Linked DNA regions of Schizosaccharomyces pombe. The gene in region 3 interacts genetically with the main gene of each other region. Each region holds a gene or a part of one and is shown on either strand. Other genes may lie near its edges.

What was found.
Region 1: mutations in mga2 (region 3) and ptc3 together harm fitness more than expected from each alone (negative genetic interaction), as found in Schizosaccharomyces pombe (2 studies listed by BioGRID).
Region 2: mutations in mga2 (region 3) and kap113 together harm fitness more than expected from each alone (negative genetic interaction), as found in Schizosaccharomyces pombe (2 studies listed by BioGRID).
Region 4: mutations in mga2 (region 3) and ubp8 together harm fitness more than expected from each alone (negative genetic interaction), as found in Schizosaccharomyces pombe (2 studies listed by BioGRID).

The regions. Positions count from the first base shown.
Region 1 is NC_003424.3:818,390-825,589, reverse strand, and holds ptc3 (protein phosphatase PP2C catalytic subunit Ptc3), read left to right. Parts: upstream 1-3,805; 5' UTR 3,806-3,885; coding exon 3,886-4,213; intron 4,214-4,461; exon of another isoform or gene 4,462-4,471; coding exon 4,472-4,545; exon of another isoform or gene 4,546-4,584; coding exon 4,585-5,427; 3' UTR 5,428-5,822; downstream 5,823-7,200. Other genes in the region: SPOM_SPAC2G11.09 (Ca(2+) transporter), read right to left, coding at 1-1,696, 1,806-1,851; smn1 (SMN complex subunit Smn1/Gem1), read left to right, coding at 2,741-3,101, 3,161-3,258; AAA family ATPase Vps4, read right to left, coding at 5,940-6,615, 6,675-7,161. UniProt on the Schizosaccharomyces pombe protein: Dephosphorylating regulator for many key proteins. Has an important role in osmotic stability and cell shape control. It may negatively regulate the osmosensing signal transmitted through wis1 map kinase.
Region 2 is NC_003421.2:1,294,818-1,303,288, forward strand, and holds kap113 (karyopherin/importin beta family nuclear import signal receptor Kap113), read left to right. Parts: upstream 1-2,107; 5' UTR 2,108-2,140; coding exon 2,141-2,367; intron 2,368-2,444; coding exon 2,445-3,477; intron 3,478-3,533; coding exon 3,534-4,223; intron 4,224-4,273; coding exon 4,274-5,113; exon of another isoform or gene 5,114-5,207; coding exon 5,208-5,369; 3' UTR 5,370-5,760; downstream 5,761-8,471. Other genes in the region: aminopeptidase Lap2, read right to left, coding at 1-1,097; protein mug150, read right to left, coding at 5,823-6,137; MAPK-activated protein kinase Srk1, read left to right, coding at 8,083-8,094, 8,318-8,471. UniProt on the Schizosaccharomyces pombe protein: Functions as a component of the nuclear pore complex (NPC).
Region 3 is NC_003424.3:4,121,804-4,130,422, forward strand, and holds mga2 (IPT/TIG ankyrin repeat-containing transcription regulator), read left to right. Parts: upstream 1-3,279; 5' UTR 3,280-3,408; coding exon 3,409-6,864; 3' UTR 6,865-7,002; downstream 7,003-8,619. Other genes in the region: protein Gid5, read left to right, coding at 346-2,715; shelterin complex subunit Pot1, read left to right, coding at 7,726-7,794, 7,841-7,961, 8,034-8,619.
Region 4 is NC_003424.3:577,784-585,110, reverse strand, and holds ubp8 (SAGA complex ubiquitin Ubp8), read left to right. Parts: upstream 1-3,630; 5' UTR 3,631-3,720; coding exon 3,721-3,816; intron 3,817-3,894; coding exon 3,895-4,027; intron 4,028-4,127; coding exon 4,128-4,815; intron 4,816-4,860; coding exon 4,861-5,158; intron 5,159-5,162; exon of another isoform or gene 5,163-5,211; coding exon 5,212-5,276; exon of another isoform or gene 5,277-5,321; coding exon 5,322-5,391; 3' UTR 5,392-5,758; downstream 5,759-7,327. Other genes in the region: ysp2 (peptidase family M17 cytoplasmic leucyl aminopeptidase yspII (LAP yspII)), read right to left, coding at 1,078-2,619; protein Mcp7, read right to left, coding at 5,864-6,430, 6,525-6,590. UniProt on the Schizosaccharomyces pombe protein: Histone deubiquitinating enzyme component of the transcription coactivator SAGA complex. SAGA acts as a general cofactor required for essentially all RNA polymerase II transcription.

The DNA.
Region 1 (7,200 bases), 3.3 Mb from region 3:
TCGATAAAAAATTGAGCTTGATGTGGTAACCTGTTGGCAAGGAAATGCGCAAAACTGGTGGTATCTTTTGCTAACTCCCAAATTGAAGTTGAACCAGCAATAACATAGACTAGAAAAAAGTTTACAAAGAGATAAGCATAATTCTTACCAACAGCGTAAATTTCCTCTTCAGCGCGAGAGCTCAGGCCTTGCATAGACGATAACCATCGAAAAAGAAATGGTGAAATGCTGATGAATAGTGAATAAACCAACGTTGGAAGGAAAGTGCGCAACAAAGAATTTAAAAAAGGGAGATCTTCAATCATACGACCAAGTTCCGGCCAGAGTCTTCGAATTGTATCTAAGTTAATAAATACGGCAATGGCTCCCACAGGAACAGTCCATAGCAAGATTATCATAAATGTAACGAGAGTTATGAACCAACCTTGAAAAAACTTATGCCATCTACCGATATAGGTATTATGCCACTGAATATCATTTGCTGCAGGTGCCAGTTCAATATGCAAACCCATCAATGATTTGCTGTCAATATGAGTTTGGGCTACAATTTGCGCAGTCGCCATAGATTCAAACGTTATAAACGCCTGACCTGTGGTAGGATAATCAAAAGAACGAGCATTTTCAATCTGTTGGCTTATTTTATAAAGCTTAGCCGAATAAAAATCGATTGCGTCAATCTTTTGACCAAAAATACCAAAAAAATGAGTTTTTATTAACGGATGGCATTGATGATGTTGCCAAGGAACCTCCAAAAGTTGTTCTGGTGTTGATTCAAGTTCTGCTCTGTTTGGACTAAGATAATTCGAAGGAGGTAAAGTGGAAATTCCAAGCTTTTTGCAGTTACTTAAATAGATAGACCAATATTTTTCTAATTTCTTGACGTATTTACTTTTTTTAGACAGTAATATATCCATGTATGAGTAATTTCGGCATATACTTAAACTGTCTATAGAACCCACATCTAATTTATCAAAATATGCTTTTAAATTTTCCGTTGAACAAAGTTCATTAGGTAAACCAGATATAAAAACGGTTCTGTCCGTCAATCTATTTTGACGAGCCAGATATGATTGACGAATGTCAGCAATCGATTTTGTTGAGGAAAAAAGAACATAAAGAAGAAAAATGGAAATAAAGTAAGTAAAAAGAACGTAAAGATAGAGAAATCCATCACCAGGCTGTGGAAGACCTGGTATATCAGATAAATTACCAATTGGATTAAATAAAGAAGGTCCTAACACACCAACATTTAACTCACTACCATTAGCAATAATAGGAGATTGTACAATTGACTTCTTGACAAGTGGACTTGAGAAGAAATATTCAGATTTGGCAGGCATCGACAAAGTAATATTCCCGAATGCATCTCCACGAAAATGCTTATTGACGGGCATAATAATCAAAACGCCAAGCAGGGAAGCAAAAGAAAGGAATTTTATACCCATTTTAAAAAACAATAAAAAAACGTAGCCGTCCAAACCAGCACAATTTTGCACTACATCATCAGGGATGTTTACTAAATCCATTAACCATTTGTAGTACGATGAAGAAAGTGTAGGTAAATTGAGACCTTCAATGGTAGTTCTAGGGGCATATAGTACTTTCCATCTTTTACGAAAGAAGCAAAAGAATACGCATGCAGAGGCTCCAAGTAAAAAGGCGAGCCAAAATTGAGTTCTTAAATCGCTCGATGGATCTGTTTTCAGCGATGAATCTCGAATCTGTAGGAATTAACACCCGCAGATCGAAGATTCAAACAACGTTAGCAATTTTGTTACAAATGAGGGAAGGATAGGTATACTTACTTTTTCTAGGATCACTGTCGAAAATACCATATCCATTGAAAGCCATTATTGCAAAGTAGCAAACTTAAGGGTCCTTTCGTCAAATTATCGAGGAATGAATGAACGATCGTTTCAGAAAATCGAGAACAAGAAAAATCTGATCTATCCAAGTATTATATGCATGTAAAAAGTAACGGAAAAAGGAAATTATCAAAAGATACACTATTGAAATATGTTATGATAGTTTTTCATGAACGAAAATCTTTAAAATATGAATGTATGTAGAGGAGGGATAGTAGAACGATACTCATCCAATACCCATTCGCATGGTCTTTCAGAATGCGATATGTACTTAACGTAAATTAAGATGACGATGCATAAAAATATGTAACGTAATTACGTGGAGCTACCTTAAATTCAATTAGGTAGTTTAAAATCTATCCCAGAAAGCTAACTTACTGAGAAGTCCTCGCTAAACCATATTAGCGCATGTAGCATTTAATGAATTATTCGTGTGGATATTAGATAACTGATTTAGGTTGATTTTTGTAGCTTATACAATTCCTTTTTCTTTTTGGTATAATAAAGCCAAAATCGTAAACAAAGATGAATTGGAATAAACATTCTTTCACAATACTTCCACGAGTTCACATCGCCATGTGCGAACCTCGTTATATCTTTGACCTCGAATTCTTGTAGTCCTGTCCACTAAGGCGGCTGATAGTTAAGGCAAGGAGCTAAGTTACCACAGCAGATTATAATTGTTGTAGTAAGCGGAATCGCCGAGCTCAAACTGTTTATCGTTATACGCGTTGTGCTTTATAAACAATATTTTCACTTTAATAATATTCAATTAATATAAGAGTTAACAAAGTTGGAAACTACTTGTTAATAAAGCTTTCTTAAGGTACAAAGAAAGACATACAGGAATAGATTATCTACAACTTGTACCAAAAATGGACCAGAGCCAAAAAGAAGTGTGGGATGATTCAGAGCTCAGAAATGCCTTTGAAACCGCTTTACATGAATTCAAAAAGTATCATAGTATTGAAGCAAAGGGAGGAGTATCGGACCCGGATTCTAGGCTAGATGGTGAAAAATTAATTTCAGCTGCACGGACAGAAGAATCAATAAGTAAGCTAGAAGAAGGTGAGCAGATGATAAATCAGCAAACAGAGACGACATTGGAAGGAGATACACATATCCAACAGTTTGCAGATAATAAAGGCCTTAGCGACGAAAAGCCTGAAACAAGGGCAGCAGAGACACATCAAGAGTTTATGGAAGTTCCTCCCCCTATAAGAGGGTTAACATATGGTAAGTAAAAGGTCTTCTAAGAAAATTTATGACTCTCTATTATTAACATAATGATTTAGACGAGACTTACAAAAAGCTTATCATGAGCTGGTACTATGCGGGCTACTATACAGGTTTAGCTGAAGGACTTGCTAAAAGTGAGCAACGTAAAGATTAGCTTCTTGTGCTATTTTTCAAAGTTATGTATATCTTCATTGTTGATGTTGTTATAAAACTGTTATCCTACTTGCTATTGCTAAGATTTATTACTCCTATCAAATAGTTCTATTTCAATTTTCTTTCTAATAAGTAGAATTTATTTGGTCATTTATTAAATCCAATGGAATTTTTAATTGAATCAAAATAATATCATTTTTGCCTAATAGAAATTTTTTCTGAATCAAGTTGCTGAATTTGTTGGGGCATTCTACTCAGCGTTGTTTTTGTCTCTATTGTAGTCATAGTAAAATGCAAACCATTGAAAAATCAATTTATAGGATATGCTATGTTTACACATGTTTTTTAATGAACATTTGAAATTTATAAGTATTTAGTCCTTGATACCATTTATTCTGTTGTTTACATATATGCCTTGACTACTGCTAATCTTGTTACCTTCCATAGTCTTTTAACAACTATCGTTCGTCTCCACGGTGGTGATGTAGTTGTAGAGGGTGCCACAACACTCCCTCCGACAAGCTCCACCACCTACTAGCGATTTACCTATCACTACTACATAACCCGTTTTGAAGCGACACAAAAAGAAAACGTGAAAATTTGTGTCATCTATTAGCAAGAGCTGTCAATGGGTCAGACATTATCAGAGCCAGTCACCGAGAAGCACTCGGTGAACGGGAGCAATGAGTTCGTCCTTTATGGACTTTCAAGCATGCAAGGATGGCGTATCTCAATGGAAGATGCTCATTCTGCTATACTTTCAATGGAGTGCTCTGCAGTAAAAGACCCGGTCGACTTTTTTGCGGTTTATGACGGCCACGGTGGAGACAAAGTCGCGAAATGGTGTGGAAGCAATCTTCCTCAGATTCTTGAAAAGAATCCTGATTTTCAGAAAGGCGATTTTGTTAATGCTTTGAAATCTTCATTTTTAAATGCTGATAAAGCTATTTTGGATGGTAAGTTTGTTGTTAACAATGATAAAGTTGTTTTCATTGATATCATAACCATTTTAAAGTCGCCAAAAAATTGATGAATTTTGTGTTTGAAATTTTTATAGATTTTTTGTTCTTTTGTCTAGTTAATGCTTAGAAAAATTGTTACCAAGATAATAGAAATGTTTACCTCTTGATGTTGAAAAGTTGTTACATTTAGTTTGGTTTCAGAAAAAAAATTTGTCATTTCACTACATTGCATTTTGCTAACTATTTTGACAGATGATCAATTTCATACGGATCCATCAGGTTGCACGGCCACTGTTGTTCTTCGTGTTGGAAATAAACTTTATTGTGTAAGTCTTGGAAGTTGTTTAGTCTTACTAATTGTGTAGGCTAATGCCGGTGACTCAAGAACTGTCCTTGGCAGTAAGGGAATTGCAAAACCTCTATCAGCAGACCATAAGCCTTCAAATGAAGCCGAAAAAGCCCGTATTTGTGCGGCTGGTGGCTTTGTAGACTTTGGCCGTGTAAATGGAAATTTGGCTTTGTCAAGAGCTATCGGTGATTTTGAGTTCAAAAACAGTAATTTAGAACCAGAAAAACAAATAGTTACTGCCTTACCGGATGTTGTTGTACATGAGATTACTGACGATGATGAATTCGTCGTACTCGCTTGTGATGGTATTTGGGATTGCAAGACTTCGCAGCAAGTGATCGAGTTTGTTAGACGTGGCATAGTTGCTGGAACCTCTCTTGAGAAGATTGCTGAAAATTTAATGGATAACTGCATAGCCAGTGACACCGAAACTACCGGCCTTGGTTGTGACAACATGACTGTTTGTATAGTTGCCTTATTGCAAGAAAACGATAAATCAGCATGGTATAAGAAGATTGCAGATAGAGTTGCCGCTAACGACGGACCCTGCGCTCCTCCTGAGTATGCCGAAAATCATGGCCCAGGATGGCGTAGTGGCGATAACAATAAGAAAGTTATTGTCCCACCTAATTTTCATCAAGTAAAGTTAAATGGATCTGATGGATATGACAAAGATGCGAATGAAAATTCTAAGGAAGATGATTCCACCAACGGATCCCTTGCAGCTGGGTTCAGATGGAAAGAACACTTTTTCCCTCATAAAGCCGAGGAGGAAAATTCTTCAAGTGAAACCGATATCGTAAATTCTAACAAAGATGTTGCGGATGATCATAAGGAGGCTGTGTCTGCAGCAGATTGATTATTCCCTACTTCACGCATATTACACAATGTAACTTGCTTTTAGGAATATTCCTCGTAATTAGCATTATTTGTTGACTTATTATAAAAGTCACGCTAGGCGGTTTTGTTTCAACATTTTTTCATGCTTTTCTTTTGTTGTTCGTATAATACGTGCCTGCGACGTATACCGATTACCTCCGAGAATGAAAAGGTTTTTGGTACGTTGCTACTTTGCACTTTTTGATAGCATGCGATTTCTATATCAATTTTGTCGAATACTGTCTTTTATAATCCTGATTCAAAATCAGTTAAGATTATGGAAAATATTTCTCTGGCATGAGTAAACATACCCAGACTAATTTCCGATTGCCCTAATAGATATTGTCGAAGCAATATACATTCCCTTCAATATTCTACTAGTTCCATAATTTACTAAAGTGATTCAACATTTGTGAGTGTAGTCATGATATTATACTTCTTTACAATAATGGTATCATTAAACTAAGCGAAAATAGCTCCTTTATCATATTACTATCCCTCTGCTCCAAAGTCCTTTGTAAATTGTGTGTGCTTTTCTATATCACCAGCATTAAGCGTAGGCTTGACTTTACGAACTGCACTGTAGAAATCTCGAACAGTAAGTTTTGGTTCCATAATGTCTTCAGGATTCACCTCTAGCCAACTAGATTCAAATGCATCAGGATCACCAGGAGAACAAGGAGTTACAAGGGTCCTATTAGACTTGTTATCATATACCTCTTTGAAATGGGTAGCTGTGTGAATTCGTCTTACAGGCTCCATTATTGCATCACGAACAACAATAGAAATATCTGAACCCGAGTAGCCATCGGTCATTTTAGCAAGTTCTTTGAAATCTTGTGAGGTCAGTTCCGAAGGTATTTTACCGACATTAAGCTCGAACATCCGAGCGCGGGCATGAGCATTAGGCAGGGGAATGTAAATACGCTTTTCGAAACGTCGGCGAATAGCAGAATCAAGAGTCCAAGGAATATTCGTGGCACCCAGAACCAGAACTCCACTTTCATCCTTTCCAACTCCATTCATTTGTACCAAAAATTCTGTCTTAATCCTTCGAGAAGATTCACTCTCACCTTCGCTTCTGCTTCCGCACAGTGAATCGATTTCATCAATGAAAATGATAGATGGTTTTTGTTCACGCGCCATTTCAAAAAGTTGACGAACAAGCCTATAATGTTAGTCATGTAAATATTAAAGAGTAAATAGTTTTAACGTAGAATAACAAACCTTTCGCTTTCACCCATCCATTTACTAACTAAATCTGAGGAGCTAATCGAAAAGAAAGTAGAACCAGCTTCAGTAGCGACTGCTTTTGCAAGGTACGATTTACCAGTACCAGGAGGACCATAGAGCAATATTCCTGACCAAGGCTTTCTACCGTGTGAAAATAATTGCGGCAGCTTAATAGGTAGCAAAACTGTCTCTTTCAAAGCTTCTTTTGCGTTTTCTAGTCCCGCTATATCATCCCAACGAACGTTTGGTTTTTCTACTAAAATTGCACTAGTCAATGCACTTCTTAACTTTTTTGCATCAGAGTCTAACGCTTCATTAGCGGTTGGAGAATTGCTCCCCTCTACATTTCCATTAGAGACTCTACTTTTTGAAGAAATTTGATTGTTTTTCTCCTGTAAATAAACCTTGAGCTTCTCCGCTCTATCTAGATATTCGATAACTTTTGAACGAATTATTTCTTTAGATTTTTCATTTTTTTCATCTGAAATATTAGCAAACAATAACTTGAAAATGTAGATCC
Region 2 (8,471 bases), on a different chromosome or scaffold from region 3:
TGAATCAACTTCGTATACTCACTATCTTCACCCAACAATTTAACCGATTCTTCTAATTCACCCCAGCCAATAATGGCTTCAAATTGGCGAGTCGGCTCACCATAAAGACGGCCTAAAATTTTGCGTTCCAAGAAAACAGTCATACCTTCATTCAACCAAAAGCATTGCCATGACTCATTAGTAACTAAATTACCGCTCCAAGAATGGGCTAATTCATGAGCAATAACGTTAACATTGGAGCGATCTCCGGCAATAAGTGTCGGCGTAGCAAACGTAGCATTAGGGTTCTCCATACCTCCGTATGGGAAGGAAGGCGGAAGGATGACAAAATCATACCGTGTCCAGCAATAAGGAAGTGTTAGTTGCTCGGCGGCTTCCATAAAGTTTTCCATGTCATGTTCAAATTCGTATTTGCAAGCTAACAAGTTGCCAGGCTCTGTGTATACAGAAGAACGTGGACCTATATTTGTGGAGGCCAAATCACCACTGAGAATGCAAAATAAATAACTAGGGATTGGATTTTTTTGCTCAAACAGGTATTCCAAAGAGCCATTGCAGAAATTAGCTGTTCCACATGGGATACCCGATGCGATTACGGGAAGTTTGGACCGGATCTTAAAAGTACACGGAACTTTAACAGAAGGAGTATCTTGACAGGGAATGAATGAACGTGCATGAATGGCTTGACATTCCGAAAAAACATAAGGAAATTTACCACCTATCGTTTGTTCAGGCTTCAAAAACTGAAGTGCTGTACAATCCTTAGTAGTGGAATATAAGATTGTAAGTATACAGGATTTTGAGGAAGGGATTTCATCAGCGGGAACGATATGCAAAGCTGAACCCAAAAATCCGCGCCGCTTATCAACACGGAAAGGAGTAGGGATGTCATTAATCGTTACATTCTTGATTTCGAGGTAAGAAGTGTCAAGGATAATATGGGACAGGGCTTGGGACACCCTAGCAGATTGAATCACAAAGGATACTTTACCATGGAGCAGCTCTTGGTCAAAGTCAATTCGAGCGTGCCAATCGAGCTTACTGATTGAGACATCATGATAATTAGATTGAGTGGAAGGGTCCAAACGAAGTTTCATATTTAAAATTAATTGAAGGAATTTAGGACAATGTACAAACGAATTCTTTAAACGAAAACAACGCTCAATATATTAGAAGCCTAGATAAAACCAACGAGTACAACGATCTCAGCTTTAGCAATATGAGTTATGCTACTGAGTAAATAAAAATATTAAGTATAAAATAGTTAAAACAGATTAATCACAGTTTTATAAAGGAAGGAATAGGAAAAGCGATCATACAGCAATACGATGAGTAGCAACATGTGTGGATATGGGTGCAGCGCGTTATGCTACTTTATCGATATCATTATGTATCACTACATTTATTTTCGTTGAGCAACGCAATTTGTAAATTCACAAAAGAAAACAGTTTATTGTTGAATAGGAGTTTTGGAGAGAGGGCTTTGAAAAGTAAATAATTATTATTTTTGTGCTCATAAAATTACCAAGAATGTTTGAAAGGATCATTGCCAATGATAAGTTATTATAAAAGAGACAGCGTCCCTTAGCTTGGGAATGTAAATAATACAATAACTGTTACGATTATTGATTTTGGTTTATTTTAAATAAAATAGTAAAAAAATGTTATTCATTTATTTGTAATTTCATAAGGTTTAGGCATAAACGAGAGAGAATTCCACAAATCTTGGTCATTCCCTCTTTAATAAGATACGTTTGTTAACAGATAACAGAAAGAAGGCAATATTACATTATCATTTATTGTAATATGAATTAGTTGTCTATAGAAAGAAAAATGAGCAATAATAGAAGTATTAGTCTTTGTGATCTTTCTATTTCTTCAATTACGAACAGAGTTAAAAGTTCGAATTTTGAATCGCAGCTCGACCTCCGAAGGGTAACCAAAAAACCCAAAATCTTCTGATACTAAAATACCAAAAAAACTGAACGCAACGTTTTTAATTTGAAAATTATTTCACCATTTCCGAAATCGAAGCGCTTTCTAAGTGTTTCCTATAATTCCTTCCTTTGGCTCACATATACTGAGTGCGACTGGTACAGCCTTGCTCAAGCAAAAACCAAGTCTCAGACTTTTTTGGAGAATGCAAGTAGATCCTGTAGTATATCAACTACAACGTGCTGTAAGTCAAGATCCCATTGCTGTTAAGGATGCTGAAGGGCATTTAAACAACTGGAAAAAGGAACCAGGTTTCTTTGGCAAGCTGTACAGTATATTTTTGGATAAACAAAATGACATGAGTTTACGATGGATTGCTATCATTCAACTACGGAACTCCATAGATATAATATGGAGGAAAAATACAAAAATGTAAGTTAGGAGTAGTCTCGAAGAATCAACCTGTACTGTTAGACTTTCGTAATTGCTAATGTATGATTGTTTGGCAGGTCTTTACTTCCAGAAGAACGTGACTTTATACGATGTAATGCTCTTTTAGGATCTATAAAATCTGAAAACCTCTTATCTATTCAAAATGCGCTGGTCGTCTCTCGAATTGCTAGATTGGATTATCCCACCGAATGGCCTTCTCTTTTTCACGATCTTTTAGGCAAGTTACAGCAGTCATTGGGTACAGGAGATTACGATGTGGCTTTAAGATTACTAATTACTCTTCATCACATTATCAAAGCAATGGCTGGGAATCGTCTTTTGAGATCGCGACAGATTTTTTACAAACTTGCTCCAGAATTGCTTACGATTCTTCAACCCATTTTACATTCTAGTTTATCAAGCTGGATGATGATACTTGAATCTTCTAAGGAAATTAAAGATTCTACTTTGTTGTCTTATATGCAAATATCTCGATACACGCTTAAGGCATGTAGACGGTTGGTTGTTTTTGGTTTCCAAAATCCTAGTGAAAGTGAATTTAGTGAGCGTATGTTAGCTTTTTGTGCTGTTCATCAGCGAAAACTTTTGAGTATGCTTGGTACAATGCTTCAATCCTCGCGGTCTCCGATAGTAGTTGGGGAGTGCTTAGAAATGGCTTTTGCACATGCTTTCTTATTCAATAAGCCATTCTTTGATTTTTCTTTCTATAGTCCATGCTTGACTAAGTTTCCAGCTACTATTGATTACATTTCATTGCACTATGATTTTTTGGGTCAAATCAGTTCTCATCTTTCTTCATACAAAGAAAAGTTTGAAGAGAGCTCAAAAAATTTTGAAAAACTTGTGATTATGAGCTTACGAGTATTTATCCTTGTCATCCAAGAATTCTGCAATACTAAATCGTCGCACCCCGAAACGGCTCAAGTTCTTTACAACTCATTTCTCGTAGATAATCGTATAAACAATCTTTTGGATTTACTCATCACCAAACTACTAATATTAAAAGAAGAAGATTTTGAAGAATGGACGGATTCCCCACAACAATGGGTCCTTGAACAATCGACCCAGGATGTTGAGTTTAACGTTAGGGTAAGTTGATTATGAATATGGGTTTTTTGATAAGCTTATCATTAACGATAATATAGCCTTGTGCCGAAAAACTTTTAAAATGCTTCTTTGATGCATATGGAGATATTATCGTTTCGCCGTTCAAGGATATGATTTACAGCGTTTTTGAGTGTCCAAAGACGTTAACACAAGCAGTTCAACAAGACACTTTGATCAGTTCTTTCGGAGTTGGATATACCCAATTGAAGAGTATTTTTCCTTTTGCAAAATGGCTACAGGAAGCCGCAGTTCCCAACATGGCTTCCATTAATGATATTGGGATATCTAGAGTGTATCGACGAAGAATTGCCATTTTTTTATCGCAATGGATTGAAGATTCTTCTTCAGAACAACTCCTTGAGGTTATTTACAAATTGTATTGCTCATTTCTCAACTTAACAGATCCTTGCAATGACGCCGTAGTCATTTTAACAACTATAGATGCTTTCAAAACCGTTTTAGATGATTGGAATTTTTCTGAGAATTCATTTCTTTCTATCAAAGAAAATTTGTTTGTCCATGTTCTTTCTTTGTTTAAAGCGTTTGAATCAGTCGATGCTAGGACTTCCATCTTGTCTTTACTTGGTACTTTATTGGCAAGGGCCGGAGAACATGTTGCTCCCATGGAAAGTACCATTGCTTCTCTCCTTTCTCAATTATGGGATGGTTGGAAAAAGGAACCGCTGCTGCGAGCACGAGTTTTGGCAGTTATGCACCAATTCGTCAATGTAAGTGTTTGGCTATATACAACAGACTGTTTTCTTATACTAATTTCTAGGCGATCAAAGCAAAATCTTTTGAATTTTCAACTTTTTTATATACGGTAATAGAATATTGTGTAAATCCGGAATCTCCAGAGCATGTTATTTTCGAAGCGGATGCAATGGAATTGTGGAGCACCTTTCTCATGTACATACAAAAATTGCCAGAAACTTTTACCCTACTTATCCCTCATTTATTGTACCATCTTTCACAGGCCACGTCTACCCTTCCATTCGTTCTAATGATAGTAAGCAGTTATCAACTTTTAGACAATACCGTTTTGATGAAGGATTACTCATTTACCATATTTGAAAAGTTGAACGACTTATTAGACGATGTAAAAAACGAAACTTTGCAAGCACTATGTAAAACTGTATGTCTACTCATTGAAACTACTCCGATGGATATGATTTACGAATCATTGCTGAACAGTTCACTTCTGTCGAGGCTCCTACTCTCCATTGCAACAAATGATAAACACCCTCAGGTGTTGATTGAATATTTATTGGTGGTGTCACGCATCTCATTGCGCGAGCCGGAATTAATATTGAAGGTTTGTCAAACGAAAAATATCAACATAGCTATGCTTATCGGCAACTGGATTTTATTAAACGACCACATAAACCACTCGAAAGATCGAAAACTGAACACACTCGCCCTCAGCTCTCTGCTGCGAACAAATCATCCCGACGTTTTGGCAGTGTTGGATTCTATCATGAATTTATGGTTCAGCGTTTTGAGTGAGGTGGAAGAGGATGCGAATGGAGATGCAACGATTTACTATAAAAATGATGACTACTCGGCTGTTGGGTTTTATCTCGATGAAACCTCAGAAGAAATGACTCGACGAAAGCAGGTAAGTGAATGAGAGGCTAGAAATATGTTTATTGTGTAAATGAAAAAGTTTTATTTGTTTGCTTTTGTTTTATTAATACTAACTTTTATTTTAGCTGCTTTTAAAGGATCCCGTTCATAGTGTTAACTCTCGCTCATTTTTTATTTCTGTATTTATGTTTTGCAGAGACGCTAATGGTGGAATGGAGAATTTTCAAAACCAATATTTATCGACGGTCAACCCAGCGTTGTTAGAACAGTTTCAATCCATGCTATAGGAAAAAAGAAGCAGTAAAAACAACATCATATTTCATGATAAAAAAGTTGGTGTTAATTTGTATATCTAAATTAAGCCAGTTGCTACGATTTTTGTTATACTGATTAAAATCCCAATTCAAGCTAACATGATGGATGGGAAATTTGGTTGAACTGCGGTTCAGAAGGAACAAAACTTACCTTTAAAAACCCTTCTAAAAAATTTCCTATGCGATTTCTTTAGCTGTCGCACGCTTTTTTCACTTATTCTAATACGACTCTGCCTTTCCTATCCGCCAATATCGTCTTAGCCAGTATATCCAAATTATAAGTATAAACATGAATACAGTAATAAGAGAACTGTTCATTCTTAGGTAGGCCTTTCTTATATAAACATATTCAGGTAAAATCAACATTAACTTTATATTCATTATGACTATTGAAGAAGCGATTCCTCAGCCTGTGCAAGCTGTCAGCTATATTTCCAAAGATTGGAATGATAACGTAATAAAACACAGTGATACGAAAAGAAACCATAGTAAAGAGGAATCATTGTAGAGAATCTCAGTAAAGTATGGAATCGCTATAAAGAGAAAATTGAACAGAGGAAAATCGCAGCAAAGAGATATGGTAGTACAAACAATCCATGCCTTATACAAAAGGTAAAGGTAATTCGACAGTACAATGATATTTTTTAAAAAAAACATGTTCTTTCTACTACAATTATTTGGCTTGTCACTTGAGGCAAAGACGGCGAAGCGTTTATCCATGATGATAAACAAGCTCGCCATCTCTATACTTAAGGGCTTGCATTGTATGGAAAGGGCGCAATTGCCGTGCCCTATAAGAAGAACTTTTGATTTTTCAAATGAATTTTAGATCTTGAAGTCAGGCGACAACAGCCAAAACATCATCTCATCTCATTCATTCAACAATGAGGAATGGGCGATTTTTCATCCAGCGTTTTTATCAGGTCAATTGCGTCGATCTCATTGTACACCAAGATGATGGATATGTAATGAAGCCAGCCAGTCGGCTTATGAAAATTTTGCTAATTATAAGAAATCAATTGCAAGTAACAGAAATGAGATGGATCGCTGCATCAACAAGGATAATGAGATAGACAGATAAAGTTTGTTGAAAATTTTCACGACAGAAGAAAATCACTCAACTAATCAACTCAAAATGGAATAACATGGAAATTTATTTCGCCAAACAGTGCAGAAGCCACTCAAAAGTGAAATGAGCAATGGAGGGGAGGAAGGAAAGATTGGTTGATTTGCTGTATCAGATGAAATTCATGGGTGAATGAAAAAGAAAAAAAGGTTTGCAAGAGGATGGATGAGTGAGATTGAAAAAATATTAGATCTCGAATAAATTCTTTCTATCCATCTTTCATAGTATACAATCGAAAACAAGATAGAACACATCCATGCCATCCATACTTCTATCTTTTTTTTTCTTTCTCTCTCTCTCTCTCCCCCCCTAGCATTCCTCCAACAACCTCTTTATAAACGATATCCTCTTCTCTTCCCTTCCTACACCAATATCCTCCTATTTTGTCTCTGATGTCATGCTGACCTCCACCCACTTTACACTTTTACCTCGCCATTGCACCGTGTCGCTTACCGCAAAACCTCATCGAGTCATGGATGCGCAACGTCACCACCATCGTAAGCGAATACAGAGTTGGAACGAGCGGCTCGCATGATGCCAATGACGTACGTTAACGAAGGACGTCAAAGTAGGCAAATCCGCCGACATAAACTTCTTGTCTTTCGCATACCACGATTGTTGGACACCAACAATATATTTCTGTGAAAATCAATTGAAAAGCTAATTTAGTAATTTTTTGGAGACTATTGGAAGGGTACCCAGTATTGGAAAGTTATATGATTCTTAAAAATGTACGTTTGTAAATGTTTGCTCACTCGTTCGTGTGGGTAATGTTTGAGTCGGATTTTTGTTTGGATTGTGGATGTAAACGCGGATATTAGAGGCTGGAGATGAGTATCGGAAAGACTTTGCGTTTGGAGAGTGTTGTTGACGTTACACTTCCTACCTTTGGACTGGGTTGGGGATAGGGATCTTAGGAGAGATAAGTGGACGAATGAATTAGGACGGTTGGACAATATCGAGTCTTGGAAGATTACTGAATTCTAATAAAAAAAAAAGAAAAGCAAGAAGCGATTTTTTTCTTTTGTGTTTTTATTTCATTTTTATTTTCTTTCCAAGTCTGTGACTAGTTTTTTGGACTTTTTTTTGGATTTTTTTTTTCTTCTACGTCAGGTGCTTTCATACGGAGATTTGCTCTTTCCTTGATGATCAGTTTTGATTTCATCTTTACCTTATTCTATATCACGTCTCCTTCCCCTTCTGCTAGGCGGTGATTGTATGCTTGACTTCATTCTCTACATCATTCAGGTGACGGGTTTCGCTTTCAAGTCGTTAAGTTAAATTTGGCGGATGCGCAAGTGTATCTTTTTTTTCATTCTTTTTGTGCGAAATTCCTTTTTTTTTTCTTTTTTTTTTCTTTTTTCTATCATCTTGTCTCTCTGTTATCTTGGTTTAGTTCAAGAGTACGGATGCGGATAGATCAGTGTCAAGAATTTGGAAGCAAATGTGTTGGCACATTTCCAGACGTAAAACCAAACGACTAGAGATCTTTAATTAGTTATTTTTCTAATAATACCCATATCTCTTGATTGATTCCGTTTGTCGCCGTCTGTTCAAATAATGCGTTTTAAAGTATGTTTGAATTACCAAAAGCATAACCATAACCATGCCTATTGATTATACTCCCATCCTTTCCATTCCATCCCTCTTCTCAGTAGGAAACATCAATCTCACCGCACTTCTTTTACGCATACAATGTGTTTTGGTTTTGTTTTCTTCCAACCACCTTTATCCATAAACACATTTCCCTTTTACTTTTTTTTTGTTTTTTGTTATGCTAATTTAATTTATTTAGAGTATTCAGCAAAATATCGAGGACGAGGGCAAGGTGAACGTTCGCGAAGTGAATCCCGATTCCTATGCTGAACGGGACCATGGCTATACTGCTGGCATATTTTCGGATGCTGAAGAAAATTTTGGCATAACTCAGCAAGTAGCGGACTCCACTC
Region 3 (8,619 bases):
TAATTTGCTTAGATATAAGCACAATTAAATTCATTACAATTGTTAAGATAAATATATAAAAAGCAAATAATACTTCTAATCGTTTGTACTTTTTGTCTACTTAAGACTATAAAACTAATATGTAACTTTTCTGTAAGTATAAAATACGTATTGAGGAACCCTCTTACACATAACATCACCACCATTCTATAGGAATTGCATCTTATACATTACTCATTGCATAGATTAAATTGCTAATAATCTACTTTTATTAAAAAAAGATTTAATCAGCTCATTTTCACGCTAGTTTTCCAAATTTACTGAAGTCTCATATTTTTTGCAAATATCTTCAAGTTTTGTTCATGAATGGTCGCCATTAACGACTCTACGGATTCTTCGTTTTTTAAAGAAAATCCTAAAATATTTAAGGATGAGCATGAGTTGTTGAGGTATATCGTTCCTTTCAAAAATTGGGTAATTGGAAGACCCGACAGAAAAGAATATGCAATTCGCAATGGAGCTCCAAAGCTGTTGCTTAATTTATTTTCCTTAGAAAATTTATCCATGAATGAAAAATATCAAGTTTTTGTTGTTTTAAACTCCTTGATGAGTGAGGACCAGGACCCTTTCGTTCAATTTTTACGACACGAGGATCTTCTTTCCGTTATGCAAATGATTTCGAAAAGGGATAGTACACCATATGGAATGCTGAATATCACCCTTAAAGTTTTTAACACAATGCTGAGTTTTGACAAAGCAGCAGAATATGTCACTCAGTTACATTCGGACTCTATAATTAATCAAATGTTTGACTTGTATACTTTACCCTTGAAAGAACAACCTTCTCTTGATGTGTTGCGTATCTCAAATTTATCTTCTAAGATTTTGCATCGTCTTATCCTTTATAACTCTAAAGTTGGAGACTCTCCACGATTCTGTTCTGCTTTATTTCAAATCACTAACAGAGCTACCCAATTGCGCTTGTATTCCAGAAGAAGATTTTGGAATGATTGCTCTATCTTAATTACTAACTCCCTGGGTACTTTGAATGCTTATTTAAAACAGCATGTGAAGTCTTATAAACAAAGAGAGAAAACCCGGCTAGAATCAAATGGTCACGTTTCGCCTCGCGATATGGATTTAGATGAAATTGAAAATGTTTTTGAGGGAAACAAGGATAAGGTCGCCTTATTTAAATCAGAGATATTTGGGCCTAATGGTGATGAATATATTACTCAGTTATTCTGTCTCGTTAGACAGTTTGATCCTTGTATTCGCTTGCTCTCAATTTCTTGTTTAGTGACCCTATACAAGGCAGGCATCCTTTCTAAAAATCAAACTAAGGAGATTCAAATGATAGTAACTCCCATTCTCATCCGTTTATTTTTTGAATCTCGAGAAGCAAAACAAATCGCTCCTCGTATTCTCGCCATCATAATCAATGAAAACGAAATTATGCAAAAGACGGCTGTAAATGCAGGTTTTATTGATGCTGCCAAATATCTTCTAGAATACGCAACTAAAGAAGAAGAGAATGAAATTAATTTTTTATCCGATGAATTGCAATCCAGCGTTTGTTTTAATCTTCCTGCTACCAAAAAGGAGCAAAAAAACCTAATCTTAGAATCAGTTTTGCTAGCCGTTGCTGCATTAACAACTTCTAAAGATGAATACAGAAAACTAATAGTTGATGCTAAATATTTGCCTGTTATCATTAATGCTTTGAAAATCAATTCTAACAGCGTGAAAAAGGCTGCTTGTGAATGCTTATTAAGTCTCTCGAGAAGCGTTTACATTTTACGTACGGGCCTTGCCGATGCAGACGTGAGCGAACCATTAATAAAGTTGCTTTCTGACCCGGATACTAGAGTCAAATCGACTGCTACGTCTGCCATTTGTAACTTGGTACTTAAGTTTTCTCCTTTGAGAGAGAAATTCCTTACTACAAATTTCATTGATACTTTGATATCAAATATTAGTACGAAAGATAGCAGTCTAAGAAAGAAGACCGTGTGGGTTCTGCGGCATGTTGTATTTGGTGATGATGAGACGATCCAGCTTGAACCTTTAAAAAAGATCGGTGCTTCAAAGCTTGTGGAACTTTGCAATGACGAAGATCTGGGGGTCCAAGAGCAAATGTTGCAAGTGCTGCGAAATTTTACATGTCAGAAAGAAGAAAGCGTGGATTTTCTTTTGAAAATGGTTCCTATGGAGTTGTTAGCAAAAATTTTGCTTGAAAAATTAGAAAGTAAAAATCCTATCCTAATTGAACCCAGTATTTACATTTTGGTGCACATCGCTGCCAGCGATGGTGAGCTTAGGGATTCTATCCTAAGGCAAACCAAACTACTACTATTGGTGAAGGAAATTATGCTACAAGAAGCACAACGTCTCAAGCCCGAGCAAATGTCCACAAATGTGTCATCTCCGGAAAGTGACAGTGAAATGGATTTGCAAGAAGATGATTTTGATAGGGAAATGCGTCCTCCTTTCGATATTTATGAAGAGGACACTTATGAACCAAACTCCGAAATTCTGTTGGCCGGAATTTGGCTCTGTATTAACATTCTATGGCCCAAACAATGTACATCTCCAAGCCAGGAAGATAAGGAAAGAGCAAGTATCTTACAAAATCTCGGATTTGGAGAATGTTTGCAGATGCTACAAAATCACTCATCTCCTGATGTAAGGGAACGTGTCAAAGATGCCTTGATGTACATCAATGTAACCGATTAATTTCTATTACGCTTTTCCGTTGTCTTTGCCGACTTGATTGGAACAGTCTAACAAATCGGAGCCATTTTCGCATTTAGTATTTCTGTATGTATAAATGTGTGCACAACTCTTGCAGCTGAAGTTAACAGGTTGTTGGATTGAAGTACTTTGAGAATGATCGTATATAAAAAGATTTAATGATTTATCAAAACGAATAAAATAAGTATTATGAACATTCAACTTATATGTATGCGGGATAGTGTAAAAACCTATTTAACATTGTAAAAATTTTTTAAGGAAAGTTGTACTTTGACAAGAACAATTTCATTTACATGTATTCTACTAAATTTATCAGAATGTTGGGAATTTTTTTGTTGGTATATAATGCCGAAAGGAAATTAATCGAATATGAAGAAAGTGGCGGAACTAAAAAACAAAACCCACAAACTAATTATTTAAATAAATATAACATAATAACTTGTTAAAATAAGAGTAATACTAGAGAATGTGTGCTCAAGTGGAAAGCATGTAATACTTGCACAACGTGATGGAAGAGATTAGTGTAGTAGCGCAGCGACAGCTTCCAACAACCAACTAATCGAGGAGGAAAGCAAAAGTGAGAATTGAAAAGAAGTAGTACATTAAAGACCTTTAAATTCTTTGAAAGAATTGCCTTTATAAAGGTAGTCTATTGCATTTCAAAGTACTCTCAAGATGAATTTAGAATTTTCTTTTGGAAATTTGATCGCCAAAAATACCGAGAATTCGACTAAGGAAGAAGGAACTTGGGAAGTAAACAAGCTCATGAAATTTAGTTCAGAGGAGGGGAGGTCTTCCTCTGATGATTATATGTTTTCCTCTCCCGATTTTGAAAAAGCCGGAAACGGCGATGCAGAAATGCGTGAATTTTTTAACTTCGATGGATTGCCGGATCAAGGTCTAAATTTGCCTAGTATAGCTCCTCCGTCTTTATCCCATGCCAGTTCACCTAACTTATCGAATTCACAAGATGAAGCGGAATGTTTACCGTCTGATCGTCAGCAAGACTACATCAATCCTAGTTTGCATTTGAACAGAACGGTGTTTCCTACTCCGCAACATTCTATTTCTGATGCTAATTTTCTAGCTAATACCGTTGATCAACCTTTGGGAGATAATCCCATGTTTGGAGAGTCGGATGTTTATCTTTTAAAAATGGATCCTATGAAACAAGCACCTTATGAAGCTGGATTTAATTCTGTAAAGTCATCGGGCGCCATCGAAGATCCATTACAGTTTAGACAGCCGATTACCATGTTGGAAACTCCCTTCAACGAATCTATTAATACTCTTACGCCATATGCCGAAGATTATGCATTTTCCTCTTTAAATACGTCTGCACCGCCTCTTTCTAATAAGGAGTACGCGTTCTCAGTTAATCATTTACCAGCTATCAATGAGCACAAATGGAAATCTCGGGTGGAAACTAACATGCTTTTTGAGTTGCGGATCAAGAGCAACGATAATCAAAGTGTTCCGTTTGAATATCTTCGCTTGCCAAGTTGGGCTCACCGTGAAGACAAAAAGCGTTCTTCGAAACCTCAGCCTTTGCAACCCGATCCGGAGACCGTCATTCATCTTGTACCTACCGTTCTTGCAGGTGACAAAAGCTCAGTTGTTAAGACTTGCTGTACTCGCTGTTTACTTCGAGAAAGGAAGCGCAATGCTCGATCTCAAGCAACAAAGGATGCTTGTATGCCTAACTATACTAAACTGAAGGCTTATGAGCGTAACATGACTGATGCCTCTCCCGAAGAAAAGCAGCAGTTCAGGATCAAGCTCTTAAATCAATTTCCCAAACTTGAAGACATAGATGAAGATAGAATGATAATGGTTTTTACTGGACCTGAGTACGTTCGTTTGCAATTGGATGGAAATGAAAGAGTTGCTCACATCAATGCACGGATTACATGTTACTCGTCTCATCAATCATGCCCTTACTTTCACATCATATGGGACTTATACTCCATGTCACGTTTGGTGGATCGTCTTGTTTTTCCAGAGCCTGTTACCGTTCTTGATGATCATAAAAGTAGAAATCTTACGAAATCAGAAAAGACTGGTAAGAGCAATTCTCAACAAGCTCCTTCAAACCATGTTCTTTCTAAAAGCAATACTGTCCCCAATCTTGTCACTGGTTTCCCTACCCGTTCAGATAATCCACCAAATGAAAAGCGTCGTCGAACATCCTCGAGTGAAAATTCTAGAGCACTCGACATACAACTATCTGCTAGTGACTCGCATTCACCTAATTCGAAAAGCACTTTGAAAAGTGTTGAGGGCTCAGCCTTTAGTATGAGCAAATCCCCTTCTGTGCTGAGTATGACTACCCCAAGCGGCGTAAGTCCTTCCATTTCAAAGAATGGTTTCCATGTTGTTCGAGTTCCCAGCGATGCCGCTGGTTTCCAACAAAGACAACAGCAAGAGGAAGGAGTGCTTGAAGCCCATACAAATGAAAGTGCCCCAATAGCCCCATTCCCTTACTGTACAGATGATTTCTCGTTTTCCGTTGAAGAAAAAAGTAGTGTCAACAACTTGCTTACACAATTTGATGAGGTTGCTAAACCTGATTTTGTAAGTACGCCGATAAAAGAAAATGTTGATTCTTCTTTTATAAACATGACTCCACCTGATGTTTCACATGCTCCCTTAATATCTCGGATTATTCCTAATAAGGGTTCAATCATGGGAGGTTATGAAGTTACAATTCTTGGCGCGAACTTTTTTAATGGATTAGTCTGTTTATTTGGTGACAACCCAGCTGCTGTAACTTTTTCGTGGAGTGAGTCAACGATTATAGCGACTTGTCCTCCTGCAACTAATGCTGGAACCGTTCCTGTAACCTTTCAGAACTATAATTCATCTTCTGAAGCGCCAGTAATGTTTACTTATGAAGATAATTTAGATAATGAACTTTACAAATTAACTGTTCAAGTTTTAGGCTTAAAACTTACTGGATCTATTCAAAACCCATTAACGTTATCCAAAAAATTGTTGAGTTCATGGCGCGACGATTTTGCTCAATATATAACAAATTCTATTAAGCAGCCTCCTAACAGTGAATCTAAAGGTCAGTCTAAAAAAACCTTATTGCATGATAGCAATATGGAATCGCTTAAATCGGTTATTTCGCGGATTGTGAAAAAAGACAGTAATCAGTCTGATGACAGTGTTGAAAGTACTATCCTCGCAGCATTTGCTCTTGTTACAGATACAACGACACCATACCTTTCTGATTTTAGTCTTGTTAACGAATCTGGTAGGTCACTTCTCCACCTTACTGCTGCCTGTGGATTGTCTAATGCTTCGACGTTCTTATGCAACGCAGGATGCGATGTTAACAAAAGGGACGCACTTGGCTATACACCACTGCATTATGCTTCATTGTATGATCATAAAGACATATGTGTTAATTTACTTTCCAACGGTGCCAAGCCTGATGTTATAGGAGCTAGCGGTAAAAAACCGATAGACCTCTCCTCTTCTGAGCCTATAAAACTGGTCTTTAAGGAAGCAAATAATGAACAAGCCCAAAGTATTTCTCGCTCTCTTATTAAGGATTCTGAAGGCTCCATTAATACAAATGAAACCTTAGAATCAACCAGTATTGTTAACGAAATTGAGGAATCTGCTGTTCAGACCAAGTCATATAGTGAAAGTATGTGGAATAAAACTGTTACAATGTTTCCATCGCTTCAAGAACTACCTCAGAATTATATGAGTGAAGTTCCATCCATGATGCAAAAAGCCATGCTGTCAACCTTAAAAAGTATATCGGCCATTCCCGATGATGTACCCCCTCCTTATTCTGAGTTTGCTGATGATACGACAGCGCAAGCTGGTTCTAGTAAAAGAGATAGCGCTATATCTGAAGATCCCGATCATCACAAAAGTGTTTGGTGGTCTTTGAGATGGCAATCTCGGCTTGTTGGTCGTGGAAAATCTACTGCTCTTACTCCTGAAGAAACCAGAGCAATACAGGAGCAGGCAAAGACACTGAAAAAGGCAGGAATGGACTTTATGCTATTCTCTTTCTGGTTACCTGCCCTACTTTTGCTGAGTATCTTTGGTCTTCGAAGCTATGCTCAAATGATCGGGGGATATTTATATCGCTGCATAATTGGCATTTAGGTTTGACGAACAACCATGCATGTTTTTTTCTTTCTTTTAGTTTTATTCTTTTTTGTAGATTATGAGCAAACTACTGTCAAAACTTAGGTATTATGACAATGAAATCGTATATATTATATTCGATTGGATCAATTTTTTATTATATTGAAAGTAATTGCTTATTTTGTAAGTTAAACTTACATGGGTTTAAACGCATAGAGCAGGTTGGCGCTTTTAAAACCAAAATAGATCGTTGCAGGTTTGCTGTTCTGGATCGTGAATGCAATACCTTAGGAAAGTCTTTTAATAAGCTATCGCTTTTTGCATTGCATTCTTTTTCTAAACTGAACGTTAGATTAGCTAAAGTAAGCGTCTTGAGTTTTCGAGATGAACCGCATACATTAAAATTTTTAAGTACCAATTGGCATGAACCGGTATGCGATCTGCTTATTATAATACTAGTAAATCTTGATACTCGGCAAACTCTTTCAATAATAGCCTAGCAGAAACTGGGATATGTCTAAAGTTTTACAACTGCGCTCAGCTTAAGGACTTTACGGCGATCCATTTAATAGCTAGCCATGAACACTCATAACCTCAAGATTGAGGAGTGGGTCATTCTTTTGCTTGATAAAGAAACAAATTCATTATTGGTAAAATAAAACTGAATAACCCTTAGTTCATCCTAGGAATTTGAAGAAGGGGAATGATCAAGCTTGAACAAGTAACTCTCACGCAGTCTATTGAATAATCTGAAGGTTCATCACTTTCAAGGGGTTGTCTTGGTTTAAAAAGCTTTTACCAATTCCATTTAGGTTTCTGAGAAAGGCTAAAACTCATTTGTTGTTCTTAAAGGATATTTGGATCATTCGTTGATCAAGCATGGGAGAGGACGTTATTGACAGTCTTCAGTTGAATGAGTTATTAAATGCTGGAGAATATAAGATTGGAGTGAGATATCAATGGATTTATATTTGTTTTGCTAACAATGAAAAAGGAACTTACATTTCAGTCCATTAGAAGCTCTCAAGAATTACAAAAGAAGAATACTATTGTCAATTTGTTTGGAATAGTAAAAGATTTTACCCCTAGTCGCCAAAGTCTACATGGAACTAAGGGTATGCTTGCTTATCATGGTGGAAACTATACTTTTTATTTTTCCAGTCAAGAGCTAATAATCATGTTTTTAGATTGGGTAACCACCGTATATTTGTGGGATCCAACATGTGATACATCAAGCATCGGACTACAGATACACTTGTTCAGCAAACAGGGAAATGATTTGCCTGTAATCAAGCAGGTGGGGCAACCGCTTTTGCTTCATCAAATCACATTAAGAAGTTATAGAGACAGGACTCAAGGTTTGTCTAAGGATCAATTTCGATATGCACTTTGGCCAGACTTTTCTTCTAATTCCAAAGATACTCTCTGTCCTCAACCAATGCCTCGTTTAATGAAAACGGGAGACAAGGAAGAGCAATTCGCCTTGTTGTTAAATAAAATTTGGGATGAGCAAACTAATAAACATAAAAATGGCGAATTATTGAGTACCTCTTCTGCTCGTCAAAATCAAACTGGATTGAGTTACCCTTCTGTCTCTTTTTCTCTGCTATCACAAATAACTCCACATCAACGTTGTAGCTTTTACGCTCAGGTAATTAAAACTTGGTACAGTGATAAAAACTTTACTCTTTATGTCACTGATTATACGGAAAATGAGCTTTTTTTTCCAATGTCTCCGTATACTAGCTCCTCGAGATGGAGGGGCCCTTTTGG
Region 4 (7,327 bases), 3.5 Mb from region 3:
AAAGACAAAATTGATACCTTTTACATTATGTCTAAACTGAATTTAATGACTATTCCTTATTTCAAGCTTATTAATTTACATGCTTTATTGGTTTGTACCATGTTTGTTTGGATACTTAACATTGAGAGCTGAATGTGAAATATTGTTTCGTCCGTAAAAGTAAGGCGTACCTCATGGTTACGAGACCATGTGACCACTCAAAAATAGAATCCTCATTATTATAAAGTATCCAAAAGTCTTTGAACATATTGCTGTAATTATGATTTCACATGAATATTAACGACATTTTTCAACCGAGTTCACGATTTGCCTGACATCTAGCAATATCGATTTCACAATTGATGGACCATTTATAGGCTTCTTGCTTTAATTCTGATTATTTTTTTCATTGTTATATTGCTACAGTGTTAAGCTTCAACTTGTTGTTTTTCTGTTTATCATATTGATTTGCAAATTGTAACGCTCCTTGCTATCCTCAATAGTTGCCATGAGCCAAACGGTATAGCAAGAAGTGATCTCCAGCACTGGTTCCCCCACCCCCACATGATGTGTACATTTAAGAGGGCAGGTAACGCTAATAAATAGTATGATAAATAATACAAAATTACTGTTATAAAAATTTCAACAGATATCTAAAAAAAATTGATTTGATCATATCCCAAAGTATTGTAAACTCGCACAGGAGAATATTCTACCTTTAAAGATTTAGTTTTGTATTATGATTTTGTTTGACAAAAGTAATAGTCATGAGTAAATTGATTACTACATTTAATAAACAAATCTATATTCAAAATAGAAAAAAAAAATTCGCTACTTCGAAAGTGAAATTTAACAACATGAGACTTCAACCGAATTGATTTTATTTTTAAAGGAAACAGAACCAGAGCCATCAGAAAGACTCGGTCCTTACAACCGTTATGAACGGTTGTGGAAAACAGTATTAAAAAGAATAAAATCATGATAGCTACATATCATTGACATACACTTAACAAGGACATTGAAAAATGAGATTGGTGTAATCAACAGTAAATAAGTAAAAACATAAAGTTTGCACATATAGCCAAGAAAATAAATAAGCTAATACTTGCGAGCGACTTCAATAATAGTGCGAACTGGGCGTCCGCTCATGCCGTCACAATCCCAAGAATTAAGCTGCTTATCCATAACTCCGGCAATGTCTAAATGAGCAAAAGACAAATCTTTCTGGGCTAAGAAGCATTTAATAAAGGCAGCCGCTGTACAACAACCACCACCGGCACGACTAACATTGCACAAATCAGCATTTGAAGAACTTGTAAGTTGCTTGAGGTAAGCCTCGTGAAATGGCATACGCCAGAAAAGGTCTCCAGCATCATGGGAAGCAGTTTCAAGATTCTTCCACAACTCTTCTCCTTGAACAAATGCACCAGTAAATACATTACCGAGGGCTACTAGCATAGCACCAGTTAATGTGCTGGCTTCAATCACAGCCTTGGTCTTATACTGAGAAGAGACATAGTGAACTGCATCGGCAAGAATAAGACGACCCTCAGCGTCAGTGTTATCAATTTCTACACTAAGACCGTTGCGCATAAAAATAACATCTCCTGGCTTAGCAGCAGAGCCAGAAGGAAGATTCTCAGTTAAAGGGGTAACAAACACGGCATTCACGGGGATGGAAAGTTGTTCCAAGGCATAAATAGAGGAAAGCATAACAGCAGCACCACCCATATCAGCACGCATCTCCTTCATGTTTTGAGAAGGCTTGATACTGATACCACCGCTGTCAAACGTTACACCTTTTCCAACTAAACCAAGCCATCCATCATCTTTTGATTTTTCTTTACCAATGTATTGTACTTCTAAGAAACGAGGTGGAATATCGGAACCAGCATTCACGGTAAGTAAACCGTTCATCTTTTGCTCATCAATCCACTTCTCATCGTGAACGAATACTTTAACCTTTGAGGAATTTTGGAATAACTCTTGAGCAAAATGACAAAATTGAAGAGAAGTCATGTAATTAGCAGGACATTCCATAAGAGAACGAGCCAAGTTTTGAGCAGCTGCTTCAATCAAACCTACCTTAAAAGCATTCTCCTCTGCGGTTGCAGTTTTCTTCTCAGATGTGTTGCTAAGCAATTGGAAAGTTAACCTTTCAGGAGCAGGAGAGGTAAATAAATTTTCCTTTTCAACCACCTTTTCATCTTGATAGACGCTCAAATGGTCTCTACGAAGAGAAAAATCGTACGTGGCCAAGGCAGCACCCAAGGCAGCATCCTTGGGAAAACCCATACCATCGACAGCTATCGACTTTGCACCATTCGACTTTAAAATCTTAGCTGCCTCTGCAGCAGCTGAACGAACGGACTTTTCAGAAACGTTTTCTTCAAGCTGGACTATGGCAAGACGAACAAAACCCTGAGTGTTCCAAAAGAGACGAATGTCATTTTTTTTGGGAGATGTTTCAAAATACTGGTCAACAACTTGTCGATAATCTTCAGAAAAAACTTGTTTATCGTGACGAACAGCCAAAATCAAGGAATCGGCTTTTGTAGTAGCTAAAGGAATTCTTGGTAAAAGAATGGAAGAAAGTGAGCTCCAATTAAAGGTTCTCGTACTTAGACCTAAACCCTTCATTGTACGTAAGAAAAAAAGCTTTGCTTGTATCTTTGATTTCTCTTGATTTAGAAAACTTAATTAGACACTTGTAATCAAAAAAAAGGTAAAGGATTACGGATTATTATAAGTTCAATGAGAGTTGGATATTCGAAAATCGTTAACTCGTGAAACTACGAATACACGTAAATTCAGTATGCAAAAATAAAATACGATGTCCGATTGCAGATTGGGCAAGGGCAAGTGTACTTAACATAGTCTAGTGTGTTATTGAGTAGACAAGATCAACATTGTGATGGAAAAATACATTCAACAAGGCTAGACATAAAAAAGAAAAAGCACCAAAGGATTTTATTTCTTGATCAAAAACCAATTTTTAAGTAAGTCACACTCATTTGCTACATATATATTTGAACTTCTGCAGACGTATTGTTGCCCTACAATCTCTATTTAGGGTAACACAAACTGTTTCGGCACAAAAATCTGCCCCTAGTCAATTGTTAAGTAATAAATTCTATACAAATGTAATAGACAAAAATTTTCGTACATGTACCTGCTTGCAGTGACTCGGTTGTATTACAAAGATGCTCACGGTAAATAGTCATATATGGTTTTATATTTAGCCCTGCAAACGTTTCATGGCAACAAACATAAGCGTACACTTAAACACGTTCGACGTTAATAGAGGCATTAGTCTAATTTGACCAAGCTTTTAAAAAATTAACAATTTCATCTATTCAACCGTGATTAAAGGACTAGCAGTAATTTTTTTTATTTTGCAGTGACTCAACAGCCAAATCTATGGGAATTTACCAAGTTTATGTTTTAAAGAGGAAAACCAAGGACACTCAAGAACTACGAAGAACATCTATTTTGGTGTTTTATCAATTGACTTAGCGTAGCTATGATAGCTCTTTATACGAAATCGGTATCTAGTAGTGCAGACACTATGAGTACTTTATGGCTCTTAACGCTGTACACCGCATCCTTAATTGCCCAAATTTAAGCAAAGAGAAATAATGTTCTTTTGCCAGAATAGCGAGTTCGTCTATTGTTGTCGTTTCACCCTGCATCGAAGCAGATGCTTTTTAGTCTGAAAGGCCAATTTTGTACGTATCAAGGATGCCTGGGGATGTAGAAGGTTGCCAGCATCTTAAACTTAAACCGGCGGATGTTGAAAACTATCAAAAGATCTGTACCCAGATATTCAGTTGTCATGTAAGGCTTGTGAACAACACTTCATACAGTTCAATTTTCTTTTTCCATTCGATTCCTTTTAACATTTCTTTCATTTAGTTTGTCCCACGTCGCTGCAGTACTTGCAAACGCATCAACAAGCGGAGTATTCGATGCTTGAGTTGTCATTCTGTGGGATGTCTTTGGGGACATCATGGTGAAGAACACGCAATGGAGCACACTCATATGATCGGTACGTTTAGTTGAAAACATAGCTATTGATTTAGCAACGAAACCTTTTTGCGAATATCGAGTTAGGATGCAATTCCCGAATACCAATTACTAATTCTTAGGCGTGGATGTAAAAAATGGCCATACCTACTGCTTTGGCTGTCAAGACTACGTTTATCAGACCGAGTTGGAAACCCTTCGTTTTAAGATCAAGAATATCAAGGCATGGCAAAGTGATCACAAGAGACTTCCCGAGAAGTACAATCAAATGGTTTGCTTAGAAGCCTATCGAAAATACCCTCCAGTTTGCGCAACAGCAGGCTTGAGGGGGATCCAGAACTTGGGTGCTACTTGTTTCATGAGCGTCATTTTACAAAGTATTTTGCATAATCCATTGGTTCGAAACTTGTTTTTCAGTGGGTTTCATACTTCTACTGATTGTAAGCGACCTACTTGCATGACTTGTGCCATTGACGATATGTTTTCATCTATTTATAATTCTAAAAACAAATCTACTTTTTACGGTCCCACTGCTGTCTTAAATCTTATGTGGAAACTCAGCAAATCTTTATGTGGTTACTCCCAGCAAGATGGCCACGAATTTTTTGTATACTTGCTGGACCAAATGCATACGGAAAGCGGAGGAGGAACATCAATGCCGTGCACTTGTCCTATTCATCGTATTTTTAGTGGATCTCTGAAAAACGTTGTTACATGCCTAGATTGCAAGAAGGAGCGGGTGGCTGTGGATCCTTTGATGGACATTAGTTTAGACATCAATGAGCCAACACTTCAAGGATGTTTGGAAAGGTAAAATTTGCTCGTTTTTAGATTTTTTAACAAATATTATTTTAGGTTTGTTTCCAAAGAGAAAGTTCAATATAGCTGTCATAGTTGCGGGTCAAAAAATGCTATTAAACAATTGGTCTTTGACAAACTACCTCCAACTATTTGCATGCAATTGAAACGATTTGAACAAAATAACTTTGCCATGTCAACTAAAATAGATAAGCAAGTATCTTATCCAGCATTTTTAAGAATGCGCTACAACTTTAATCAAGATGATGTGGATTATCAATTATACTCAGTTGTGTGTCATAAAGGAACTCTCGACACAGGGCACTATATTGCCTATACATACTACCAAAATCAAGTATATTAAATTTTTTTTGAATTTTTTATGGAAATTTTTACTAATTTTTGTAGTGGTTTTTGCTGGATGACACCACAATTGTGGAAGTAAAGGAATCGGAGGTCTTAAATTCTCAAGCGTAGGCTCTTTGCTGTTATTTTTTTACATACTAACCAGATTATAGTTACCTATTATTTTACCATGAGCGTCAAATCCTATACAGTGATGAAATGACTGTTAAAACGGAAAATTGAGTTAGATTATGCGATCAGATATCCGTTCATGAACAATCATTATGAACCATGTAAAGTAATTGACTCAAAGGTTCCTTATTTATGTGGTTATGAAACATCATCACTTCGATAATCTAACTCATGAAGAAGCTTTTAGATTTCATATTGTTGAGGCCAGAAATGGCATTGGATTTGGAACCGTTACAACAGTCGCATTTTAATTAATGACCTTACGTAAATTTATAAAAAAAGTTAAAACTATAAAAAAAGAAACATGCTTTTTTTCTTTCAAAGTTAACAAATACTATAAGTTTGAGGAATTTGGACTTTTGTTTTGTTTCGTTTAATATTATTCCAACTAATTATAATTTTATCTTTTAAAAGCTAAGTCTTGTCGTCGAGTAAGCTATTTTATATGTAACTGTTAAAATGTATAAAATTTTAAAATATTAATAAGGAAAACAACTCTTTGAATTAAGGAAGCATGTCAAGTTCACAAAATCGGTAGTTGCAGATCGTCCAAATCCTCTGGAATGCTGCAATACTCACGAATTTGATTGGTATCGGCACCCATGTCTCGACAAAAAGCTATCAAAGTATGGATTTGATCGGTCCACAAATTGGCAGCTTCCATGTACTTTTTAGTATTCTCATTTTTTAATTCAAAGGTTTCAGGATTACAGTGATTTAAATTTGAAAGTTGTGTTTTAAGAAGTTTTAGTTCTGATTCTTTTGCATGTAGCAGTTCCAAAGTGTATTGATTGGCATCATTTTCGGTTCCTTCGTTATCCCTTTTGGATTTCTCGAAACTAATGTTTTCATCTAAAGTTTTAGATTTTTGTTTCAAATCATCAAGTTGAGCTTGAAGAGATCCGAGAACTGACTCTCTTGAACGTTTAGCATCGGAGGGAAAAGACCAGTAGTAATTGCTAGTGCCAATCTTTTCCGTTTTGACGATATTGTCGTCAACGAGAGACTGTAAAACGTCCTTTACAGTTTGCAAAACGATTTGCTTTTTAGAGCCCAGCTTTTCCACCTCCTTTAGTTGAAAAAAATCTTTCTATAAAAAAAACATAGATTAGCAATGTGGAAAGTGAGACACGAATGGGCAAAAATCATGTTTTGGCACTTGAACAATCATATCACGAACTTACAGAGTCATGGAAAATGGCCTCTAATCTTCTTCTTTTCTCTGCAAGCGATAGTCCCTTGGGAGGCATTGTTTAAAAATTTATTAATTAGTTTGAACAAATATGGAGTTTAAAAGTTTGTTGTGATGCAAGAAGTAGATGCTTTCTAATCTTTTGGAGAAATGAGAGTTTAGATCCCAAACATTTACTGAATGATAACGTAGTCTGCTAAAATGCACATCCGCACTTTCCAACTATGATATATACCCTATAATGTCTTACTATCGTATTGCAACATAATGCAATGCAAAACGTTATTCAGCTATCCTAATCTTTTTGACCCTTGAGGAAATTAAGGAATTAAGTGAATGGGGTTGGCTATTGTCGCACAAAAACATGTGAGGAAAACTTCCTTTTGCCACGAAATCGAAAAGACTCGAATACTGATAGCAGCATGATTTTTTTTTTCTCAAGAGCTTTTGTCGGCGCTCACCTTACTGTACGAATTCGGTTTTACAACCTTTTATTTATTTTTCACTTTATTATTTTCACACAGCGAATTTCAAGCAAACACTGACTGACTAACACATTTCCACATACACACACACACACACATAGCATTCATAAGAGCAACGATGTTTAATGTCAGCGCAAACAAAATGTGTATTGACTTTTGATAAGAGATACTCAGTCAATTTGTCTACTAATTTCAACTATGGCTGGGTATTAACCGGTGTGCCATGTTCGCAGCTAAATGTGTTTTAATCTAGATTAGAATATGGGAGTAAGTGACAAACTTTGGGAACCGCTTTCCCATGGGTAAAAAC